Schizosaccharomyces pombe: one gene and its partners. The protein of the gene in region 2 interacts with the protein of the main gene of each other region in a biochemical or structural test. Each region holds a gene or a part of one and is shown on either strand. Other genes may lie near its edges. The genes, in order: rpn12, rpn10, cut4 and rpn2.

Region 1 (4,743 bases), on a different chromosome or scaffold from region 2:
ATCTCGTAATGCGTACAAAGATATGTCCCTCAGGTGGTGAGACGATTCATGGAGAACCAGATGGCTTCAGTACAGGAAATGGTGGGAAAGGAGCTAATCAAGCTGTAGCTGTTGCTAGGCTATCAAATCCGGCTGATACGAAAGTATCTATGTTGGGATGCGTAGGTGATGATGCCTTTGGGGTGGAAATGTTGTCCGGATTGAAGAAAGACGGCGTAAATGTAGATAATGTCAAAAAGATTGAAAACAAGTCCACAGGTGTTGCCATGATTATTGTCGAAGAAACGGGAGAAAACAGAATTTTGCTTTCTGAGGGTGCGAACGGTAATGTTGATACTGCGTTTGTGAAGGCCATGGAGCAAAGAATATCAACATGTAATCTTCTAATTATGCAATTAGAAATTCCTTTAGAAGCAGTGGAAATTGCATTGCAGATCGCTCACAAACATGGTGTCGATGTTTTGATGAATCCAGCACCAGCGATTCCGCTTAGTCATGACATGATATCTTATTGTGCCTATCTTGTACCTAACGAACATGAAGCTGCCATTCTCTTAAATCAAGCAGACTCACCTGCTACGTTGGAAAATGTGGATGCATATGCTTCTAAGTTACTAAGCTTCGGTGTCCGTAAAGCCGTAATTATAACCCTTGGTAGCCAAGGTGCTTACTATAAGTCTGCGAACGGAGAATCTGCTTTGGTCTCAGCATGCAAAGTGAAAGCCGTTGACACGACTGCCGCTGGCGATACCTTCATTGGTGCCTTTTCTAATTCAATTGCACACGGACAGCCACTTAAGGACTCACTGGAATTTGCTGCTAAATGTAGTGCTATTACTGTACAGAGAAAGGGAGCTGCAAGTTCTATTCCTTCCTTACTTGAAGTCGATGGTTCCTTTAACCTAAAAAAGAATACATAGCCTCTGGCTTTTACGCGTTACCTTACAAAGGGAAGAAAAAAGCATAATTCGATTTTAGATTTCTACACATTCTTATCTCATATAACTTCATCAACTCTTTTTCAGTATTGAACATAAACTTGCATGTTGCTCAAGTTAATGAGAACAAAAGGTATCTCTTACGAATAATAAAGGTTATAGCATAAAATATGATTCGTTTGTTAATAAGAGGGAAGTGAAATAAACGCCTTGACTTTTGTAGAAAGAGTAATTACCATCAAACAAGATGTTTGATTCATTAAACAATCTGCTCTAATTCTGAGGTGTAACTCAGTAATTGACGAATACTCGAAATTGTGTGCTTGCTAGCAGTGGGAGGAAGCTCCAATTCGTCTTCCTCATCAATAAGCATACCATCCTCCGTCTCCAAAGCATTGGCCTCTTTGGGAAAGTATATTACACCGTCTCTAATATCCCAGCCTCGTTCTTCAGCAAGTTTTTCGGTTTCCTTAGTGTTTTCCAGGTACAGCAAACTTGTTGCATTAGATAAGGGGATTTCTGAATACACTTTCTCGGCACAAGTCGCAATTTCGTTTCGAACCATACTCATAACAATTTTCATAAAATAACTAAACTCAGGAAAGTTACAGGATCGAATCATGGATGCTACCTTATCAAATGCACCTTCCATTACATTTTGTTCTAGAGAAATAACCCATTCTACGTACGGATCTCTTTCAAATAACGATTTGTCAGGAACGGATTCCAAGGCTGTGTGAAATTCAGCGATACGATTTTCAGATAATAGATACAACAAATTTAATCCTGTAACAAGTCCCATCCTTGATGAAGGGACAAGGGAATCATGATAAAAAGGAATTACTTGGCTAGCATACCTTGCAAACGATTCAATATCACAAGTTTGAATCGAGACAAGTACACCGTATTCAAATACATTTCCTATAAGGAAGATTAGAGGTCTGTTCTTAGATAACTATACAAATAACATACTGGCAAAACTAGCTTTCTCTTTATCGCTAGTAGGGACGAAGAGGTTCTGCTTAGCAAGTTCGACTTTCAGTTTCAGAAGTTCCTTTTTACAAGCATTCCAATCCTTTCTGTCATAAAGATCTGCTAAATGGTTCAAGTCTAATGTACTCATATTGATGTGTATTGAGAGTGTAATAAGTTGGAACTTTTAAGAGAGCTGTAGAAACAACACCTCTTGCCATGCATCTCAGAATAGTCATCAATAACGAACACACTATAAAGGTTTACCAGCAAAAATTAAAGCTCCTTACGGATTTTGACGTTGTTTTATTAGATTCATTATATCACTTAAGCAATTGTAACATAGTATTCACTCACAATAATTGCTGTAGTTGCGTTAACTCTCTTTATCCTTTAAACTAAAGAATATGCCGGATCTTTGGTCAGAAAGTATATTAGAAGGCAGAAAATTGAGTATTTATCATCTTAAAAGTACTTTAGAGAAATGTCCATTTCTATTTGGTCAAAGTAAGAAGTCTAAGGATTTTCAATTTGGGAGTCATCTTTTTTTGGTAGAGGAACAAAATGTATTTATTTTTGGCATGGAATGCATAGTTTACGAAAAAAACAAAGAGTTTATAGTATTTGTATCTAAAGCAGATTCTACCGGATTCGGCAGCAAAGGGGTATCTTGTAACTCTCTTGCTTTTTGCTGCTTAGTGACACTTATTGACGGTCTTAGAAAACAAGGAGCCGAAAATGTAACTTTGACTCTGTTTGCGATTGCTCAAGGTCAATATTTATTTCCTGAGTCGGTGGACAATGGACAAAAGCATGTGCTGAATGATTCTGGTTTGTTACGCTGGTGGGTAAATTGTTTGGAAAAACTCAGGAAGTATTATACTGACAGTGAAGCACCAAACGATTCCGAAAAGCAAAAGAATTCCACATTACTTCCTAAGGCTTATTTATTTGTTCCTGGACTTGAAAATATTCGTTCGTACTTACCCAATCGTCATTGGATTGAAAGCAACGCTATAACAACTGGAAAAGCAGTTGAAGAATTACCAAGATTTCCAGATGACCCAAAATGTAGGTATTTATGCGAGCTTCAAGATGAGAAAAGTGACATGTCCGTTGAAGAGTTTTGGGATACGCTGACTTATAGACAAGAGTGCTCCTCAGGTAAACTAGTTGGCTTTTTCACATTACAGCTACAGTTCTATCAAACAAGAGAATTTATTGCTAAAGATAATTTTGGTGATTCTGGTGTAATGATTCCAGCTAAATTATACAGAGTCACTTACGATACTTTATTGAAGCATCCATTTGGCTCTTTATCTGATGCACAGTCGTCAACAGAAAAGTTTCTTAGTAACACACTTTCCGCTGTACAAAATTTAAAGGATTTTCATTATAAGCGCTACAAGCTAGATATATGTGGGTTGGCAAAACGTGATGATCGTAAAAATCACAACCATTCGAAACCTGCTACGCAAGCCAATATTCTACAGCCACGAAAAAAAGTGAAAAAATAAAGGACTTTAAGTTCGTTGAAAATTTTTAATAATCCCAATCAATCCTCTCATGTAGATTTTTAGAGAAAGTTTTTGTTTAATATTGAAATTGACACTTTTCGTCAGTATTGCAAATAAATTAATAAACAACAAATATCTAAAATTAATAAAAAGCTAAATTAATGAGAGTGAAACTCAGGGGGAGTTAGTAAAAATAACTATATCAAAAAACCAAAACTAAGTAGAAATATCAGACTGACTAATAAGACATTCGACTATCCATTCAGGATCAACGACCGGACAATTAGTTTCATCTACAATGTTTCCATCCATCGTAAGTATCAAATCACACTCCAAATGTGCAACATTTGGTCTAATTTCAACGTCAGCACCCAATGCCAACGCGTGATAGACATGAGCCAAAGCTTTTTGACCCTGCTCTGTATTTTCAATCTTTTTCTGCCAAGATTTTGCTTCAGGTATAATAAATAAAATCTTTTTTCCAAATAAAGGACCCTTCCTTGCCAAAAGTCTGTCATATAAAGAATCAGTGGTATCAAAAGGTTCTATCCGTTGGGAAAGTGTACAATCTAGACGGTGTGAATAGCCAGATGCCAATAAATAAGGAGAAAAATCAACAACTCTGTTCATTTTTAAGCACTGTTTAATAAATTGAGGATGGACACACGGGATATTAAAAGCTAGAGCTTCTAAATATTTAACCTTTCTAGAAAATGTGTCAGATACAACGAAAGCTTGATTCCACGATTTACTTCGCTTTTGAGGTTTCAAATGGCGTAACTTTTTTTGTTTGCTTTTAAACGGGTCATTAAACAAAGGGCGTAAGCCTGTATCAAGAACTAATCCTCCATGATCCTGAACTACAGTTTCCAATGCACTTCGGTCATAGGCATCCTCATGCACGGGACCGCTGAATGCAAACACGCAATCGTCAAAGATGAGCTGATTACTTTCTGAATCCAAGTTCTTCTTGACAAAGGAAGAATCCCTTTCTTTCAAAGAAGAGCGGTTTCTCTGAGAATCATGTGAAGGAAGAAATGATGTTTCCTCAAACTTCATATCTTTTAAAGTAGAAAAACTGAGGTCTCTTCCTTGAAACCGCCGAATGTTCACAGGAGCAACATAAATAGTAGAAATGGGAACCGTAACCTCAATTTCTCCGTGTGCCAAAATAACCATGTCGTTGTTTAGAGCGTCCACTGCTATAAGGGATAATTGCTCATTAGTAGATCGAAATGTTTTCACAACAGTATGCTTGATTTTTCCTAATCTTGTGGATTGTACAACGTCTCCTTTTTTCAAAAAAAATCTCTTAA
Region 2 (4,313 bases):
TCCGCGTTCTAATATTTCCAAAGGTACAGACTTCAAATCATATATTTGCAGACGTTTTCCTTGAGCGATAACACATCCGATTTCCCGAATAAATAGTGGTGCGTATTTAGAATGCTTTAACACTGGGCACCCTAACAATTTGATTTTATCTTTAATGGTTAAACCTTTTATGTGGTCTAAATATTCAATAATGAATGTGCTTAGTGCTCCTTCCGACACAACAAATGGAGTAGTCGTTTTCGCTAACTTAAAGTAACGATCGAAAATTAGCTTTTGAGGAATGTCATCAGAGAATAGTGATAAATATCTAAAGAATAAATCGTCCTTAGCTCCAATACAAGCATTGAATAAGTTCTTTGTAGGAAGATTCATGGCGCGATTTAATTTCGCAAAATCTTTTTGATATAGGGTAGTTACTATTCCAGCACTTTGCTTAGATCCATTGGGATTATGTCGGCCAGCTCTTCCTGCTATCTGCTTAATTTGTGGTACAGGGATGTCTATAGTGGAAACTCCACTAAACTTTTTTAAATCGCTGAAAACAATACGCTTTACGCCTAAGTTGAGACCCATACCAATGGCATCGGAGGCCAGCAAAATATTTTCATCAGAACTCTTTGAATTAAATAAGCTTGCTTGTTGATTACGGACTTCAGGAGGCAGTGAACCATAAATAACGGCAGATTTTTTTCCTAATGCTTGATCAATTTTAGACTTCAAAGTAAAAATGTTTTTCCTTGAAAAAGCCACAACACAATCCCCGTCTTTGAGTTCACTTAACTTTCCATTTAAGCTCTTTTCTGCAACGTGGAGAGGATTTAACCGTTCGTATCTGTAAACAGTAAAATCATCTTGGGTCATTTTAGCAATTGAACGCACTAATTTAACAACACTTTCTTCTCCGCATAAATGAATTTCCTTAGCCTGCAAGCCAAGCAAGCATTGAGTCCAAGCATATCCCCGTGAAGGATCAGCCATCATTTGGATTTCATCAATGACTGCAACATCAAAAGTAGTAGATAAGTTGCACATTTCTACAGTACATGAAACAACCTGAGGGAAAGGATAATCATTTCTAATCTCTTCCCCTGTGTAAAGATTACAAGCTATTCCGTTTGCTTGCAAGCGATTATAGATTTCGTGAGCCAAAAGTCTTAAAGGGCCAGCAAATATACCTTTCTTGCAAGTCTTAAGTCTTTCTAAAGCCCTATGTGTTTTCCCGCTATTCGTTGGGCCGACATGCATAATGATATGCCTTCTGAGTTTTCTCGCTCCTGGATACCACTCAATTGGATTTTTTAAATCTGTTAATTGCTTTTGTAAGTCAGGTCTTGTTTCTTCTATTCGCTCTTGATATCGTACATACTTCCGATACTCTGAGAGTAAACAATCATGGATCTTTTTTATTTTCTGAAGGTCAAAAGTAGAAGAAGATTTTGAAAGAGCCAATGATTTATCAGAGTTTTTTAAGTCAGAAAATCCTAAATCTGTAAGGATATTCTTTTTTAACTCATAATAGTATACATTCTGAAAGACACTGGCATCCTTGCAGACATTGACAAAGTCTTGGGCTAAGTATGCTTGTTTTGACGAAAGTTCTTTGGAAGCAAATAAATATGCAGTGAAGCGATTGAGGGCAGCAGCCCACAAGGTATTTCCTGGGAATTTCCTTTGTTGAAAAACATCCTTTGATAAAGTGTGAATTCTAGCAGACTTGCTAAAAAACGGTACACAAAACGTTACGCCATGAATCAAAGTTTCCAAAAACATTCCTGGCGAGTTAAAATCTTTCTAGCAATGCTCTATTGCTGGCCGCCCTGTAACCAGAGCAAAACTTAATCCAAGTATTTAAAGTAATTTAAAAACAAGAAATGTTTATATAGAAAATTAAATACTTCTCAAACGTCTGAAGGTCCCTGGCTTTATCGCTTTTAAAAATATTACCTTCTATTAATTAAAAAAGGAAAAAAAAAGTAATAATTTGACTACGAGATTCAGTCAAGTTGCCTGCTGAGGCCTCTAATATGTTATACCAACAGCTCTGCATGTATCTCCAAAAAATTAGTATCTCAGCAGTACCCTTTAAATTCCAGTTTTCCGCTTCAGTAAATATATAAAATTTTTTAAAAAGCGTTTATTACCTACACTTGTATTATAACAATTTCACGCATTTGGTGTTGGCTTTCGATTATTTACGCGTGCTGTAAGAAATTAGAGAACCTGTGGATTCGAACAGGAAATGAATTGTGTATCACCATGTTTTTCGATGTTTCATTTTGTGATGCGTTACATATCGTTATCCGAGAATGACTAGAGAAGGTGAGTAGTAATACCTTGTCTAGTTCACTTTGCAACACATCTTCTGTAATCTACCAAGCGTTCTTTCAAATTTCTTCGCATTAAGTTTTAAATTATAGGTCTTCAAGATGGTGTTAGAAGCAACGATGATTCTGTAAGAATTTATTTTTGTTAAATTATTGCTCTAACATGGCAGAATTGATAATTCAGAATGGATGATTAATGGTGATTATATACCTACGAGGTTTGAAGCTCAAAAGGATACTGTACATATGATTTTCAATCAAAAGATCAATGATAATCCGGAGAACATGTGTGGTTTAATGACAATTGGTGATAATAGGTATATGATTAATATTACGGCTTGAACGGTACTTTATGTTCAGCTATAAAATACTTTACAGAAATTCTAATCATATTAGTCCCCAAGTTCTTTCTACATTAACCAGAGATTATGGTAAATTCTTATCTGCAATGCACGACCTGCCTGTCCGAGGAAACGCAAAGTTTGGCGATGGTATACAGATTGCGCAGTTAGCCTTAAAGCATAGAGAAAACAAAATTCAACGTCAAAGAATTGTTGCATTTGTAGGTTCTCCTATTGTTGAGGACGAGAAAAATCTTATTCGTCTAGCCAAGCGTATGAAAAAGAATAATGTTGCTATTGATATCATTCACATTGGTGAGCTTCAGAATGAATCAGCTTTGCAGCATTTCATTGACGCTGCTAATTCAAGTGACAGTTGGTAAGTCTACGGATTTTTCGGACATTTTTGGCTTCTTTTTTTTACTAGTATTAACAATTTTAGTCATCTTGTCAGCATTCCACCTAGCCCGCAGTTACTTTCAGATTTGGTAAATCAATCCCCTATTGGACAAGGTGTAGTTGCTTCTCAAAACCAATTTGAGTATGGAGTCGATCCTAATCTTGACGTTGAATTGGCGTTAGCCTTGGAACTTTCAATGGCGGAGGAACGAGCACGTCAAGAAGTTGCTGCTCAAAAATCATCTGAAGAAACTGAGGATAAAAAAATGCAAGAATGATCCGAAGATGTCTACGATTCCTTATCCTTATGAAAGACAAATTAACGTTCTTGTACTTTACTAGCCATGCTTTATGCAGCAACGTTTAAATTAGATTGAATCCTAAAAATCATGATTTTTCAAAATATATCCAAAATAATAAATTGGCAGCATTTTGTTTCATTTTCGTAATTAGCATTGTAGAAAAGGTTAGCGCATTCTAGAAACACATTACTAGAAGGAAAGGTATTAATCTACAATCAAGGTAGCGTTAGTGGCATCCAATAATAAAAACGCCCCTAATATACGTGTCTGACTAGCTGTTTACCTTTCTTAATTTCAACATATACATAAACCAAAACAATTGTTTTCTTCAACTATCTATTATGACCAATAAAATGCAGACCCTTTACCCAAAATTTACTTGATCGCAATATAAAAACACACTTATTTGATCGTCATAAAAGACAATCCATTCCTTGTGTTTTCAACAGCAGATATATATTTCATATTTTCTTCATCAGTCCATTTTACTGATAGCTCATCCCATTTTTTGGTCTGGTATTCTTTTCTAAATTGTTGGCGAATAGCGTTTAATTTTGACATTTCGATGGGATTTCCAGTACCAGTATACAAAAGCAATAGAGAACCTTTTGGTAAGGAGTCGTATAAAAGACGAATTCTTCGATTAAAACGCTCTAAAGCAGAAGAATAGCTAGTTACTTGGTCCTCTTCTACCGAATCATTCTCTGTATCAGTATCAGAGTTGTTTTCTTGTTTTGTATTTCGATTAGCGTTCCACATAGCCGCATGCTCCAATTCGCGAAAACGACCCCACACGAAGTTATGCATGTCTGAAAGACTTACAACAGCGCTTACGACTTCATCATCATTCGCACAAGAAACGCTTTTATGAGCCGCTTTGCCAATGCACGACTCCGGATTACCATAGTCGGCAATTGCACCAATCAATGGAGTTGGCTGCTGTCGTG
Region 3 (8,729 bases), on a different chromosome or scaffold from region 2:
ACGAACATCATTGTATACCAGCACCATGCGTCTCACCTAGGGCTTTCCAAATGAAAGCTATTCATCTCGAAGCTCATGTCAGTGAATGCTCTCATTCCTATGGCATCTCGAAGCTTTTCTTTGAGATAAACAGTATCAGAAGAATCGATGGGAATTCCGTAACCCTGAATAAATGTTAAGCACTGCTCTCTAGTTAGGTTATCTATATCTTCGATCGTCCGCAAAGGAGGCAAATCGGCCTGGGGTAAACTGCCATTTAGAAAAGGCACGACGATGGCCGGATAACCAGTTGCTCTCCTTCTCATGTTTTGGGACCGCTTTAAATCCATGTCTGATTTAAAAGAACGAGCATCTAAATTCTCTAGAAATTGTTTAATATCATACAAATCACTTGGAATGCGTGGCAGATTAGAAGATGGTGACAGGGTATTTCTTTGATGGATGGAAAAGACACTGTTTTCCCCACTCAACGCTCTTTTCAGCTTACTCGGTTTATTGGAATAATTTGGGTTATTTTCTATTATCCTTTCAGTTGTTGTATTATCGCTTTGAGGAAGGCGTTTGATTTGGTTTTCTTCGCTTAGAATTTGGGCCAATCTGCTATGTCCACAGTCTTGAGATGATTCATAAAGCTCATTCTCTTTTACAAAGCTCCTAGCTTGATAATTTTTAGGATCTTGATTATCCGTATTAAGGGCTTGCCCATGATAATCGGTATCAACATGAGACTCATGTCTTGCAAGCCCTGCGTAAGAAACGTCAACTGGTTTTTTGCGAGAAACAGCTTTTGCTTTGACTATATTCTCTTCTGTTGAGAGCATGTTTGTATTTGATTCACCCTTATTTGCCATCCGTTTGGCCTTATCAATTTTTTTTCCCAATAAATACACATTTTCAATTTTTTGCCAATTTTCTTTTTTCATCTTGAAAAGTTGCTCGAAAATAGTAAAGACAATCAATAATATTATTCCCTTAAAGGGGAACTACTTCCATACAGAAAAGATGTTGTACTGGATCATTTATAAACTCCCATGACATGTAAACAGATGTGAATCCCTGACAATTGAGAGCCATGTTTTAAACCGTTAAAATTTTTAACGCGCTTTACCGATGTTTTATATGCTCTAAATTGTATGTACAAAGAATGAAATATCTTGTGAACATAAAGGTTATTTAAGAATTTAGGCTGAGATATTTTATAGTGAAAGCATAAAAACCGTTTTGTATACATAGCCGATTATTCTACTGTCTATACCAATCATTGTCTTATTTTAACCATTGGGTATTGAAACCGAGTTCTATTTACTAAGAAAACACTTAGTATAATTCTTTTTTTTGTATTTGTCTGAGAGATTAATCAAGTACGAACTAAAGAAATCTCTTGTCATATATTTTCCTTTGTGTAAATAGCTAAGGATGACTGTTACAATATTGCCCATAGCGTTCTATAACTTCTGGTGGATCAATCGCAATCATTTTTCATTTCAAAGAATTACTAATTGGGTCTATAGAAAAATCATTTCTTTTTATTTCAGACTATTTTGTTTGTCATTGAATTTCCTACATTAGCTGCTCTGGTTTATTGTATCATTAACTTTTAACATAAAGAACCTCAACAAGTCATGCTAATTTGACATTATAGAATGTAAGTATATTAAATTATGATAAACTATTTATTGCAAAAGCAGGATGGATAGTACATTATAGAGCATAGAAATTGTTGCAAAGAAATCCACAGTTTATTATCTAAGATATTTACTTTATGGAGATATTAATTTAGAAGGCTCATAGCCGTATTTTTTTGCATTATAAGCCATTTGTTTCACTGGCTTTATATAGTCAATATGCGACTCATAAATTCATTAGAGTTATTCTCTCGCGAAAAATCATTGAAATGTGGGGCCTGATCATTGTTGTAGATTTAAGCAACATATAACCGAAGCTAATGAGAACAAATTGAAGCAGAGTTTTTCTGAATACCAAATACATTTTTGATACTCCAGGGTTGCAGAGTTTTTGCCTTCAGAGCCCATTGCAAGTATGTTCGGTTTCTAAGGGTTTCCTCACTTCATACATAGTTAGATTTGTTCCTCAATTCTTAATTTTTCGCTGACTTCGTGACGCTTTCTACTATAATCATGTTACAAACTAATATATAAACAAACTAGTGACCTTTAGGATTAAACGAGAGGCAAGCACAAACCACTTGTTCCATTCAAGTTACTGCAATATTTTTATGGAAGATATTAGAAAATTAGCAGAATACTCACCAAGTTTGTCACAATGCAAGACGATGGCAAAAGATCCTTAAGCTCATTCCATATTAAAAATGTCGTAAGTTAGTAAAATTTAAAAATAGTCAAGTCCTTCATTTTGAAGTTTTTTGTTTATTACTCGACCAAAAACAAATTGCCTTGCAATCGTTACCTTTTATGCTTTAGCACCTATAATTATCCTGTAGACAGAAATTACCTTTTATATAGCAAACATTATTATACCCAAATAATATTTAACATTGAAATCTTCATAAATAAATGAATAAAGTATGGTAAAATATTATTTACATCCCCCTATACAGCTATATGGCTCAACCTTTATACAGTAATAAAATGTCTAAGTAGTCCTGCATGTTATGATAGAAACACCCAAAGCCTTCACTCTAAACTTCAAGGAATTTACTGCTTGCTTTTGTCGTACACACTCCTATAGTAAGGCATCTTATATTCCATATGGATCCTCGACACTGGGGATGTAAGTACTGACTTGTAGTTTGAAATGGCAAGTCGGTCGTCTATATCGACATGATTTTATAACTAAATTCCTGTAAAAAAGAGAAACAAAAATGATATTTTAATGCATAAAACAATTTCCCGTTAGAGTATTTTTAATTATCAGTATTCCAAAAAAAAGATTTCTAGTCTTCAAATAAACCAATGCGTGATAAATACTGGAATTGGGGAATATAAAGATCCAAGTTAAATTTAATTGATTTTGTAAAAGCACTAAGTTCTGTAGGTTGACTTTTTAATTGTCTAGCTAACGTAAGTTTGGTAAGAGATGCTGGTTTGTTTACACTAGATATACGCTGACACTCAGATTTCACCTACAACTTCATGCTAAAAAGGAAATGCGAAATTGTAAACGGAACTGAGTTATTGATTATCGTTACTAGATGCTGAAATGCTAGAATTAAAAACAAATGTTATTCAAGACCCTGAATTAAAGGATTCATTAGATTTGCAAGAGAATGATCGGGTTGAAATCATTGGAGATGCTGTGCATTATATTGTGAATGACCATTTAAATCGTGTATTTAATTATACCGTAGATCAACAAAAGATACATGCTGCCCTTATTACTACATTTGCATCTGGAAAAAAGGCAATTGTTGTGATTCTGGACGACATTGGATATGTATACTATGTGGGCGACAATAATAATGATTCTTATATTATAAACGTTCCTTTTTCAACAGAAAGCGCATGGAGTTCACCAAGTGGACTATATCTTCAGCGTCATCGTTCGAGCGATGAGAATCTGAATACTGACTTGCCTCATATTTTTTGTCTAAACGATCCTTTAGATGAACTTACGTTAATAAAATTTGACGGAAAAAAAATACTATCTCTGTTTGATTCAATCGTTTATGTCGTGGGAGAGATCGTCGTAACACATAATAAAAAAGAAAAAAAATTGAGTTTTTGGAGGAGTCGCTTTATTGATCCAGAGTCAGACCAGTCAATAAAAAGCTCACGTAACAGAAGAAGGGAAAGCTCTTTTTCTCGTGAAAAGAATCCTGACTTAACTCGCTCTGATTCTATCCATTATACCGCCAATACTCGTCTTTCTGAAAAATTCGAGGAACAAGGACTCGCTTATTCGACCATATTTTCTCACATAGAGTCTTTTCCTATCACCGGAAGTACTTCGTTTGATTCAATCCTTGGAAATGGTGTTTTGGTCATCACCACTTTAGTGAAAGAGCTTGAAAAAGGCTACATGATGTTGTTTCGCCTTGTTCGTGACAGATCTCCTTACTTCTTAGATTCGCTTCAACTACATGCAATAAATTTGAGTGCTATTAAATCTAAGCATTTGCAAAAAATTGTTGTTCTGTCTTCAAAGGGGAAGGTGAGTCTCGAGTCTCCAATGTCGCCATCTTTGCCTATTGAGGGTACCTTTCGTTCATTTCGTGTGCATGGTGCCACACTTTACTTAGAGGACACCGATGGAGTGCAGAGGTATATATCTCTAGATAACAGAGCATCCAATAGCTTGGTAAAATGGTGTTTAAGTGTTATTCGTTATGTTTTGCCCTTGCGTGAATATGAAATTTTTTATACTGGACATCTTTACGCGCTTTTTGCTTTTAAGCTTAGCCATGATGAGGCTTTCATATCTTCAATACTCGCCTGTTTCACTTTCTTTTCTCGAGATAAAGTTCATGTTGAACCAATTGAAGATTGCAATGAAGCTTACAGTCTGTCCTCTAAGTTTCATTTTAAAAAAGAAATACTTATTGCTTCTCAGCTCTCATCTCATCTTGATTACTCAACATTCAAAAATTACTTGATGCCCTTAGCTATTACCTTACATTTTATATCTGAAGAATTGCGGTTGGATTCGGTTGTAAAGCCTCGTAAAGATCAGCTTGTAGCTTTATTACTTCAAATCACCACGTGGTTGAAGTGGCCACGGTATTGCGAGTATTATAACTTTGATATCGCTGAAACATTTCTATCTATACCCTTATCGATTCAAGTTGATGTTGAGGAACCTGTTGGTCCAACATCGATTTTACAGTGGATTATTGAATGTTTAAGGTCGCAATCTACAGTACCTTTTTATGGCTTGGAAAGTTATGGGCTACCACATTCTTGCTCTACTATGTTTCCCCAAACCCTTTCTTTAATGCAGTTACTCGATTGCTTGCTAAATCCTAATATGACCCTTCAAAACTTAGTTGAAGAAATGGTACGGTTAGGAATTTCAAGAAAGAGGTGTGAAAGATACCCATTTGGAATTTTATGCATTATTTTTACAGTACTCGAGATTGCCGCTGAAGAGTATTCTCCGAATTGGGAAAGCGAAGAGCTTCGATTAGTCAATCGCCTTGACGTTGATTCATTCTTACATCCAAAGACACCTAAATGGGTTTTTAATAAGCAGGATCAAGAAGTCAAAGAAATAAAAGCACTCACTAGTACAGTTACCGATTCTACACTTGTTGACACGCAGTCGTTTCATCCTTATAAGGTTGTAACGGATATGATTTTTAGAGAGGATCGACGACTGGCAGAAGTGAATAAACTTTTAAATTATTCAAGTCAAATCACCATAATGACTGAACACTTTGATGTCGACTTGAGTTCAGTACCAATGCAACAAAAAGTTGCTCAATGCATTTGCGTTAGAACATTGTCCGTGCCAATTGGAGCGGGTATGCTTACGTATGGTAGTAAAAATCCTTTACCTACGGAAAAGGTCACTCCACGATTATTTAATTTTACATTGCACTTGCATCCTGGAACTTTAATTATACAACCTAATAAAGAGTTCGTAACACAGGAATTAACCGAGTGGCCAGAGTTTAATGTTGGCGTTGCATTAGGATTATCGATATCTAAGTTTTCAAAGGAAATAAACACTAGTTGGATTATGTTCAATCGACCTGAAACTTTGACTGCTTACCATGCGGGATTTCTTTTTGGTCTAGGGCTAAACGGTCATTTAAAGGCCCTTGCTACCTGGCATTCTTTTATTTATCTTACTAGCAAGCATGATACAACCAGTATAGGCCTTTTACTTGGACTTGCATCCTCGTATTTGGGGAGTATGGATGCAAAGGTTACAAAATTGCTAAGTGTGCACATTTCAGCATTACTGCCAGTTGGATCTAATGAATTGAATATTTCACCATTAACTCAGACTGCAGGAATTCTAGGAATTGGTTTATTATTTCATGATTCGTGTCATAGACGCATGTCTGAAGTGACCATGGAAGAGATTTTGGCTTCTAATGAAAGCGAACTAAAGAATGAAGGCTATAAGTTAGCTGCTGGATTTTCTCTTGGTTTAATTAATTTAGGGAGAGGATCTAATCTTCCAGGCATGTCTGATTTAAAACTCGTTTCAAGGCTACAAGTGGGAATATCTAGTCAGGCTACATTTCAGTCTTTAGAAGCCGGTTCTCCCGGGGCCATTATGGCTTTGACTATGATATATATGAAGACTAATGATTTGGAAGTTGCGAAAAAAATTGATATTCCTAAATCGCGATATCTTCTTGATTTCTATCGTCCAGATCTAATACTTTTGCGAGTTGCCGGTAAAAACTTAATTATGTGGGATGAAGTCAAAGCAGATTATGAATGGGTGAAATATCAAATTCCTGATATAATGCTCTCACAATTTGATTTACAGGAAAAAAAGGTTCTCTCTTCTGACGACTTGCTGCTTTATAATGTCTTAGCAGGGATTTGTTTTTCTTTAGGTTTAAGGTTTGCTGGAACGGGTAATCCGAAAGCCAAGGAAATTCTCATCAACTTTTTAGATAGCTTCATTCGGTTGTGTCATCTGCCTGCTAAAACACACGATGAAAGAGTAACTGCAGTGACTGTAATTCGCTGTACACAAATTGTCGCTTTGTCTTCTTCTTGTGTTATGGCGGGTTATTGTGATCTAGATGTTTTGAGAAGGTTAAGAGTACTACATGGGAGAATGGAGCCTGTGAACTACGGGGCTCAAATGGCTACTCATATGGCGCTCGGAATTCTTTCGCTAGGTGGAGGAAGGTATAGTTTGTCTCGCAGTAATTTAGCAATCGCGGCTTTGTTAATATCATTTTATCCGCAATTTCCCAGGACTACTCAAGATAATCGTGCACATTTGCAAGCTGCTCGAAATTTGTGGGCTTTAGCTGTGGAAGAACGTTGTATTATCCCGAGAAATCAAGATACCAAACAGCCATGCATAGTGCCATTAAATGTTGTTCAAAAAAGCGGCGCAGTTCAAAAACTAGAAGCGCCTATACTTTTGCCGCCGTACGATAGCATTAGTTCAGTGTCGACGTTGGGTGATAAGTATTGGAATTTAAAAATTGATTTGGACAATAACAGTGATTACCGTGAACTATTAAGGGAATCACAAACACTGACACTGATGCCTTATGACCGAACAAGTTCAAAAGAAGAGCCACTTAATCTATTCCCTAAGCTTAAAGATACCTCAAGCCCACTTTGGAACTTGGTAAAAACAAGCAGGTTGTTCCAAAGCTCGAATAGCCCCTTAAACGTTGCATCGTTACAAGAATCAAATAATAAAACTTCTCTAGGCGTTAAATTACTCCTGTCTATGGACTTTGATAATTTAACTAGAGACCGTTTATTAAGTTTGCAAATACTGTTACAATTTTTTGAGTCTTGTTGGACTGGTGTGCTCTTGAATAAGTTTCACTCCCGTCAATATCTTTTCCTTTCTCGTGATTTGGTAGAAGATTTGAGTTTGAGAGTATGGGAGTATGTGTATTCTCATAATCATAATGAAGAATCTGTATAATTATGAACTACGTTTATTAATTATATGATATGCTAATGGGCTGAATGGTTTCCAAAAATCTTTTCCATCATATCAATCCTTCAAAAGGAAAATTGAAGTTTAAAAAAATAGAACCCCTTAAAATTAACGACTTGTATAAATACCTTAATGTCTCAATTAATATACAAGGTGGCATATCCAATGCAACACTTTTTTCACGATCATGATTAATAGCTATCTTCAAATAATGGTTTGTTAAAAGGAAATCGAAGTTAATAATAAATTGTTAATTGGAATACTGATGCTCAAACTATTTCACTGGGCAAAGTAAAAAGAATATTATTGCGACAACTACTAAGCACCCATGGTTCTTCAAGGGGTAATACCGCCTGTCTCAAGGCGCCGTTGAAAATAGATTAGCTTTTTTATCCTTTTTCTATATCTTTTCCCTCCTTTCGTTAATTAATTGATTTAAGCATGACACTTCGAGCTACTAACTAACACTATATCGTTGTATGCTGTTTACATAAGTTCTTGATGTTCGAATCTATGACTTTCGAGTAACGGTTCCAAATATTATAATTTAATGAATTACACCCGATAATTAATACACTGTATTAAACCATCTAAATCCACCTGACGAATTCAATCTTAAAATTTAAATAGAAGTCTTTAAATCCGACATGCACTGAGATGCTGAAGTTTTGTAACGATCTACATTAAATTCCCCTATTATAATTTACGTACGATTATTCGCCTCATTAAAAATTCCTTCGTTTTTGAGGGGTAGTAAGGGCATGACTTCAACCTTGCATCCTATGACACAACACTTCTTTCGTTAGCAAAACACAAATTGAAGCTTGCGAACGCATAGGAAGTGTGAATAGCTCGTTTCTCGAAAGCCGCTAATTCTACAAAAGCTTTCTGTATCAAAAAGACTTGTAGTTTTACTTAATACACCTTTGGTTCTGCGCTAAGAGTGAAAGGCTCAGTATTGTTGTGAAAACCGTGAATCTGTAACGTCGGTTTATGTTAATTTGTATTTTTGAACGCTTGCTATAACTATTGTTATCTATTTTTGTCTGCTATAGATTATCTTTGAAGGACTCAGAGTCGATTTAGCTTATCTTCTTATTTTTTGTCTCAGGTGTATCGAATTATCGTTCGTGTTCATTTGTACTTTTGGAATAACA
Region 4 (6,773 bases), on a different chromosome or scaffold from region 2:
CATATTCTGAAGTCGAGCCCGTCATACCAGGTGTAGTTCCAGATACACTCAGCGTTGGAGCTGGGGAAGGATTAACTGGCTGATCCAAATCCCATAAGGAAACGACACAGTCGTCCCCACAAGTGGCTAATTTTGATTTAGAGCCCGGCATCCATTTAACCGCATTCACGTCCCCCTTATGTCCACGCAAAGTGGCATAAGCAGTTCCCGGCACTCGGATGTCAATCATTTGGACGTCAGAAGAATTATGGTGGAAAGTTGCCATTAAATTAACATCGGAATCGCAAGCAGAAAGTCGAAGTAAAGGAGCTGAGACAGGAGGAGAAGCATTTGTATAGTCACCGTTTCTCTTCCAAAAGGTGCTATCGCCCTCATATATGATCGTGGAATGATCCAATGATCTAAAGAAAGTTAACAAACTACTGTCAAAAGGAAAAATCCAATTGCCGATTGTGGATCGCATACCTCAAGTCAAACATGCGGACGCTGCCATCAGCTCCTACGCTAACAAAAACATTGATACTGTCCTTGAGAAACGCAACGTCATAAACTTCTTTGTCGTGAGCAATTAATTGTGTTTTTGATTGCTGGGCTACAATGTCCCAAACTGTGCAAGTGGTATCAAGGCTACTCACTACGATATATGAAGGATCAGTTTTGCACCAATCAAACGAAGTTAGAGGAGCATTATTATGAGTTTTTACATGCTATAACATTAGTCGCCAAGAAGAAAAAAGAAAATCATACGGTAGATAAAGAGGCTTGACATAACAAAGGAGAATCAATCCCCGCTTCAAAATCGGTTTTCCATAATCGCAATTGCTGATCCGTAGAAGCTAGCAACTGGGAGTCGGTGTTAGAACCAACCGATGAAGGATTCCATAACAACTTCGTAACTGGGTATTCAAGATCAGTTGCTGCTTGCGCCTTTTCCAAGTGAGAATTTCCATCATCCCCAGTTATTAGTTTTAACAATTGTATCTAAACAATTTTTTGGTTAGTAACTTCGTAGAACAGAGTACATCTTTGGAGTCTATGCCAAAAGAAGCACAGATAAAATTATATAATATTTCCCCTGGTTTTGCAATTAGCATACCATATTATTTGGTTCTTCATTCAAACTTCCCATAGCAATCCATTCACTAGAATATTTTCCTTGTTTTAACCAATCCAAGGCAAATGGAATCCACGGTGCATTGTATCCAGTATATTCTTTTCCCGCTTCAAATTTGTTAGGCAGTTGTCTTTTGGGCGATCCGTAGAATTTGCCAAGTGAATCAAGTACTGATTTTCCAACGCCAGCAGATATTGAATACCTATTTCTACGTAAATCTGTCATTGTGCGCGAAGTGTGGATATTGGGATAAAGTAAGTAAGCGCCCCACTTATGATGTATATTCAATACAAAGCAAACAGCGAATACCGGCTGCAAAGCGAAAACGCAAAAATGAAGAATTGTTTTATTATATTTGTAATTTTTTTCCTATTCAATAATTTTTTAGTAAATTAAAAGAAGCGACTGCGTACAATTGCTTCACCCTTTTTTGTTGATTGACCTTTGATCCCGTACTCAGCGCTTCCGTTAAGGTATCATTACATATACATTAATATCATTGTATGCGTGAAACACAGAATTTTTTATATCTATTTAGAGTTAAGATAGTTATGTTTTAACAAAATACATTTCGGGTTACTTTAGCTTCTGTTTGCTTCCAGTTTGACGACATCGAAAAATGTCCATTCAATTAACATGCCAGCAATAAAAAACAGTGGTTTTAATAAAGCCAAAAACATTGTGGCATGGGAAGGCCTCGATATCATTTCTGGACGCATCCATGTGGCTTAGTTATTTCATTACTGATAGAATTGACTTCGAGAAAAATTATGAAATACATTAAATTTTCTTGATCAAACAGTTCATTTGCAAAGCTACTGAACCATGATAATTGTTATATTACATTGTATTTGTAAAGTAATATTGTACTAGGCATTGATACGTACTGCAAGTTAAACGAATGATCCCAGCGTAATATATACTATCAAAAAATACTAATGAAAGTATAACTGTGAAGTCAAACAACTATAATGCTTTAAAAAAAAAATTCGACAAAAATTAGCTACTTTGTTAAGCTAAAGACTATAAATTTATCGATACTAAAAGCGAATGATAAGAAGGCAATGAGAATCATATTATAGAACGATCAGAATAGCTTTACTTAGTTCGTTCATTTTGATACGATACTCATATAAATCCCTCATTGGGTTGAGATATCTTACATAGTTGATGAAACATACAATTTGACTTTTTTCGATAATACTGAATATTATTTAGGTGGTGTGGTGTGGATAACATGATATAGCATTACATTTAATATACCTGAAACATTTATTGGTACAAGTGCCCTACCCTTACCGAATGTGTTGGTGGAATGAAGCACAACGGTTCAGGGTATTTACCAACAACGAAACACCACCTGCTGTTATATAGTTTGTAAGATTTAAATAAACAGGTCTAGTTTCGTCGAAATGACTATGGTGTACTCTGATAACACCTCTATTATAACGTCAGCAGGTACGTCGAGCGTTAAACAATGAAAAAATGTAGAAATCATGTTCACTAATCCTTTTGATAGGTGGTTTGATGGCCCTGCTGGACGAGCAAGAGCGAGAATTACAAGTACATGCTTTACTAAAAATTTATGAGTTTATTGATCAATTATGGCCGGAAATATCGGATGATGTTACGAAAATTGAGGTTATGTATGAGGACCATTCATTTCCTGAACGCGAATTAGCAGCCTTGGTAGTCTCAAAAGTTTATTATTACCTTGGAGAATATGATGAGGCTCTTTTGTTTGCCTTGTCAAGTGGTCCAAAGTTTTTGCATGACAAAAATAGTGATTACAAAGAAACACTAATTTTCAAATGTATTGATATGTTTATTCATAAAAGTGCAGAGTTGTACAAAAATCCAAAGGCTGACCCCTTGGACGAGAGACTAAGTGGCGTAGTCGAGGGCATTTTTCAAAAATGTTATGCTAAAAACGAATGGAGACATGTTTTGGGAATTGCTATCGAGGCTCATCGACTTGACATTATTGAATACATTTTAAATGCAGACAAAGAGACAGATTTAAAGCCTTATGTACTGGAACTTGCAATGACTGTTGTTTTAGACATTGAATTCCGAAACCGCTTACTTCGTCTATTACTAAGTTCTTTTCTGACAGAAACAGAACCTGATTATTTCTCAGTTGGAAAATGCGTTGTTCATTTGAACGATGCCTCTGTTGCAGCCAAACTTTTAATGAAACTATCTTCTCAAAACGATGACAAAAGCTTATTGACAGCGTATCAATTAGCCTTTGATCTTGAAGATTCGGCTCCACAAGAGTTTTTAAATAGTGTGATGGATTTGCTTCCTTCTCCCTCTGTGGCCAATTCCGAAGAGGACGCTAACGCTGATTCGAAAAAGGAGGATTCTTCTCCTTGTGGTTATATTATTCGAATTTTGTCTGGTGAACAAACCGTTAAATATGACCGTGAATTTTTATATGCACATAACAATACGGATATGCTTATTCTGAACAGGACGAAAGATTCTTTAGAAGCCAGGAACTCGGTTTTTCATAATGCAGTTACGTTCGCCAATGCGTTCATGAACTTCGGTACTTCCTCGGATAGTTTCTTCCGCGACAACCTTTCCTGGTTATCCAAGGCCAACAACTGGTCAAAATTTACTGCAACAGCTGCATTGGGTGTCATCCATCGAGGATATTATAATCAAGCTATGAACATTCTTCGTCCTTATCTGCCGGAAGAAGATGCGCCATCAAGCTCTACTTATTCTGAAGGTGGTGCTTTCTATGCCATGGGGTTGATTCATGCTAATCATGGAAGAGGTGTTACTGAGTATCTGCGCGAACAACTGAAACATACCGAAGATGAGATTGTTCAGTATGGTCTCTTACTTGGAATTGGCCTAACGGGCATGGCTAGTAGGGACGAAACCCTTTATGAATCTGTTAAGACTATCCTTTTTAACGATAATGCCGTGGCTGGGTCTGCCGCTGGTATATCCATGGGTCTCATAATGCTTGGTACAGCTTCTTCTGCCGCCATTGATGAAATGTTGCAGTATGCACATGAGACGCAGCATGAGAAGATTATTCGAGGTTTGGGCATCGGTATTGCATTAATTGTTTATGGACGTCAGCAAGAAGCTGACGGTATAATTAAAGAACTGAATAATGATTTGGACCCTACTCTCCGTTATGCAGGCATGTTCGCTACCGCTTTGGCTTATTGTGGTACAAGCAATAGCAAAATAGTTAGAGACGTACTTCATATCTCAGTTAGTGATGTCAATGATGATGTTCGTCGTGCTGCAGTTTGTGCTTTAGGTTTTATCTGTTTCAAGGATCCTAACGCTCTGATTTCAACGGTTGAGCTGCTCGTTGATAGTTATAACCCTCATGTTAGATATGGTAGTGCAATCGCTTTAGGAATTGCCTGTGCAAACTCGGGGTCCAATGCTGCACTAGATTTATTGAGCCGCCTTGTTGAAGATGCAACGGATTTTGTTCGCCAAGGTGCCATGATTGCTCAAGCAATGATTCTCACTCAACACAACGATCAATTGAATAGTAAGGTTTCTGGAATTCGAAAACATTTTGAACAAGTCATCAACGAAAAACATGAAGACGCGCTTGCTAAATTGGGCGCAACATTGGCTCAAGGTATTATTGATGCCGGCGGTCGTAACGTTACTATTGCTCTTCAGACAGCTACTGGTAGTTTGAAATTGTCTGCAATTGTTGGATTAACTGTTTTTCTTCAATATTGGTACTGGTTTCCACTCACGCATTTTATGTCTCTTTCCTTCTCACCTACTGCGCTGATAGGTCTGGATAAAAACTTGAATGCACCCAAATTTTCTTTTATTTCAAATGTTCGTCCTAAACTGTTTGCCTATCCTCCAAAGTCCGTACAACCCACTGCTAAAACGGTCCAAAAAGTTGAAACTGCCGTGCTCTCTACTACAGTCAAAGCTCAAGCACGTGCCAAGCGTGCTGAACGTGAAAAAGCCAGTAAAGGTTCAAATGATGACGAAATGAAAATCGACAAAAAGACAACTGAAGAGAAAGAGGCCACTCCGATGGAAATGGATGAAGAAAAAAGTCAGGATATAAGCATCAACGGCAACTCTAAAAAAGAAGAACCTAAGTCTGAAACTTTAGAGAACTTCACGCGGGTTGTTCCTGCTCAGCTTCCATATATTTCATTTAACCTTAATGGCCGTTATTATCCGGTTCGCAAATTTACCGGTGGTGTTCTTATGCTTATCGATCGTGAGTCTGATAAAGCTCCAGATTTAATTGAACTGAATAGAGACGCTGTACCTGCTAGTGCAGATACAGAGCCTGGTGAACAGGAGGCCTCTCCTCCTGAAGATTTTGAATACCCATTTGATGATGATGATTAGATTCCCAGAAGTACATCCTGCTAGTCTCAAAAAACCATATACGTTTGTAAGAACATCTTGATTGTTACTTGCATCTCTTCAGATTAAATACAAACGTTTTCATATGTTAATAGACTTGTAGTTTGAAGTTAACGTATTTATTCTACGGAACTGAGTGTTCGGAAGATTGCTAGACAATTTCATTTTGATGATAAATTTAAAAAGTTTTCAATTACGTTTTTTAAATTAAATATCATGTTTTTTACGTTGATTTGGTATTATTGCCTTTTATTAGTAACAATGCTTATTCATCTATATAACCAGCCTGCCGGTAATTAGATTTTTGAATTATAGCTATGAAATGTATTTTGAAAGTGTTCAATACCTATTGTACAAAAATTGAAATGTGTTATGATAATCGTGAACTAAAAGTATCTTAGCTTATGATTCTAAACTAAGTTGAAAATATTGTAAGGGATGGTGAATGCTCTCCTCCAGCGAACCGACATTTGGATGAGTAAGCTCAAAAACACGCGTACACGCAATATGATAATGCCTCGCTTTAACTGCCTCAACAACTTCACGGCATCCGGCAGAATCCGGTGCTATTCCCATGGAAGCCAATGCTGACACTAGATTATTTACTGAATATGTACGATAAGGACAACCGTGGGCATCTCCAGGACCAAGTTGAGGCCCTGTAAGGATCTGCTGGCAATTATAACCCTTGTAATTTTTCCTATTTCCTTCAAGTCCATAAGTATGTCTAATATTGTAGCGATATTCTTTGTTAAATTTGTCTTCTGTTACATTTGTAAAACTTTTCCTCCAAAAGACCAAAGCTTCGTCGACAGAAAGGCCAATATCCTGAAAAATTAGTAAATTACTACATAAAAAATAAGTTTCATACTTTTAAAAATAGCCCATATTGAAGACGGCCAAAATGCCGTAGATGCTTATCACGCTTAAGTACTTCATGTAAATGTTTGGCGCATAATGGAAAATGTGAAACAAAACTGTCTACTTGTCCAGCAGTAATAGCACCAGATTTAGGAGCAACTATTGAACTCTCGGGAGCAACGAATCCTTTACTCAAATGGTTGAGAATTGGCAAAAGACGATCGTCTTCATCAAGCCTAGGAAGAGATTTTGCGGTAGACTCAAGCGCTTTTTTTAAGTTTTCTTCAAACTCTTCAACAACTAGACTTACTTGTTCCGAAAATGGTACGTAAGCGTATCCCTTGTGAACGAAAACAGCCCTTCGTTCTACTAAATCCGGAACTTTAAAAAAAGGTACTTTGAAGAAAGA

Evidence for each region.
Region 1: the proteins of rpn10 (region 2) and rpn12 form a complex in vitro, tested with the Schizosaccharomyces pombe proteins (3 studies listed by BioGRID, with this or other methods).
Region 3: the proteins of rpn10 (region 2) and cut4 form a complex in vitro, tested with the Schizosaccharomyces pombe proteins (one study listed by BioGRID).
Region 4: the proteins of rpn10 (region 2) and rpn2 form a complex in vitro, tested with the Schizosaccharomyces pombe proteins (one study listed by BioGRID).

What each region holds. Positions count from the first base shown.
Region 1 is NC_003423.3:4,212,324-4,217,066, reverse strand, and holds rpn12 (19S proteasome regulatory subunit Rpn12), read right to left. Parts: upstream 2,091-4,743; 5' UTR 2,062-2,090; coding exon 1,911-2,061; intron 1,860-1,910; coding exon 1,198-1,859; 3' UTR 950-1,197; downstream 1-949. Other genes in the region: rbk1 (ribokinase), read left to right, coding at 1-920; histone lysine acetyltransferase Rtt109, read left to right, coding at 2,318-3,427; crb2 (DNA repair protein), read right to left, coding at 3,644-4,743. UniProt on the Schizosaccharomyces pombe protein: Acts as a regulatory subunit of the 26S proteasome which is involved in the ATP-dependent degradation of ubiquitinated proteins.
Region 2 is NC_003424.3:4,556,750-4,561,062, reverse strand, and holds rpn10 (19S proteasome regulatory subunit Rpn10), read left to right. Parts: upstream 1-2,366; 5' UTR 2,367-2,426; coding exon 2,427-2,452; intron 2,453-2,494; coding exon 2,495-2,641; intron 2,642-2,698; exon of another isoform or gene 2,699-2,720; coding exon 2,721-3,044; exon of another isoform or gene 3,045-3,107; coding exon 3,108-3,342; 3' UTR 3,343-3,512; downstream 3,513-4,313. Other genes in the region: ATP-dependent RNA helicase Rpm2, read right to left, coding at 1-1,770; rex1 (putative ribonuclease H70), read right to left, coding at 3,769-4,313. UniProt on the Schizosaccharomyces pombe protein: Protects ubiquitin chains against dissambly by deubiquitinating enzymes thereby promoting protein degradation.
Region 3 is NC_003423.3:387,809-396,537, forward strand, and holds cut4 (anaphase-promoting complex platform subcomplex scaffold subunit Apc1), read left to right. Parts: upstream 1-3,101; 5' UTR 3,102-3,180; coding exon 3,181-7,557; 3' UTR 7,558-8,229; downstream 8,230-8,729. Other genes in the region: protein mug2, read right to left, coding at 33-923. UniProt on the Schizosaccharomyces pombe protein: Component of the anaphase-promoting complex/cyclosome (APC/C), a cell cycle-regulated E3 ubiquitin-protein ligase complex that controls progression through mitosis and the G1 phase of the cell cycle.
Region 4 is NC_003423.3:3,318,595-3,325,367, reverse strand, and holds rpn2 (proteasome regulatory subunit Rpn2), read left to right. Parts: upstream 1-2,455; 5' UTR 2,456-2,526; coding exon 2,527-2,572; intron 2,573-2,633; coding exon 2,634-5,485; 3' UTR 5,486-5,735; downstream 5,736-6,773. Other genes in the region: dca7 (WD repeat-containing protein), read right to left, coding at 1-401, 466-707, 748-981, 1,097-1,339; DNA primase large subunit Spp2, read right to left, coding at 5,906-6,331, 6,375-6,773. UniProt on the Schizosaccharomyces pombe protein: Acts as a regulatory subunit of the 26S proteasome which is involved in the ATP-dependent degradation of ubiquitinated proteins.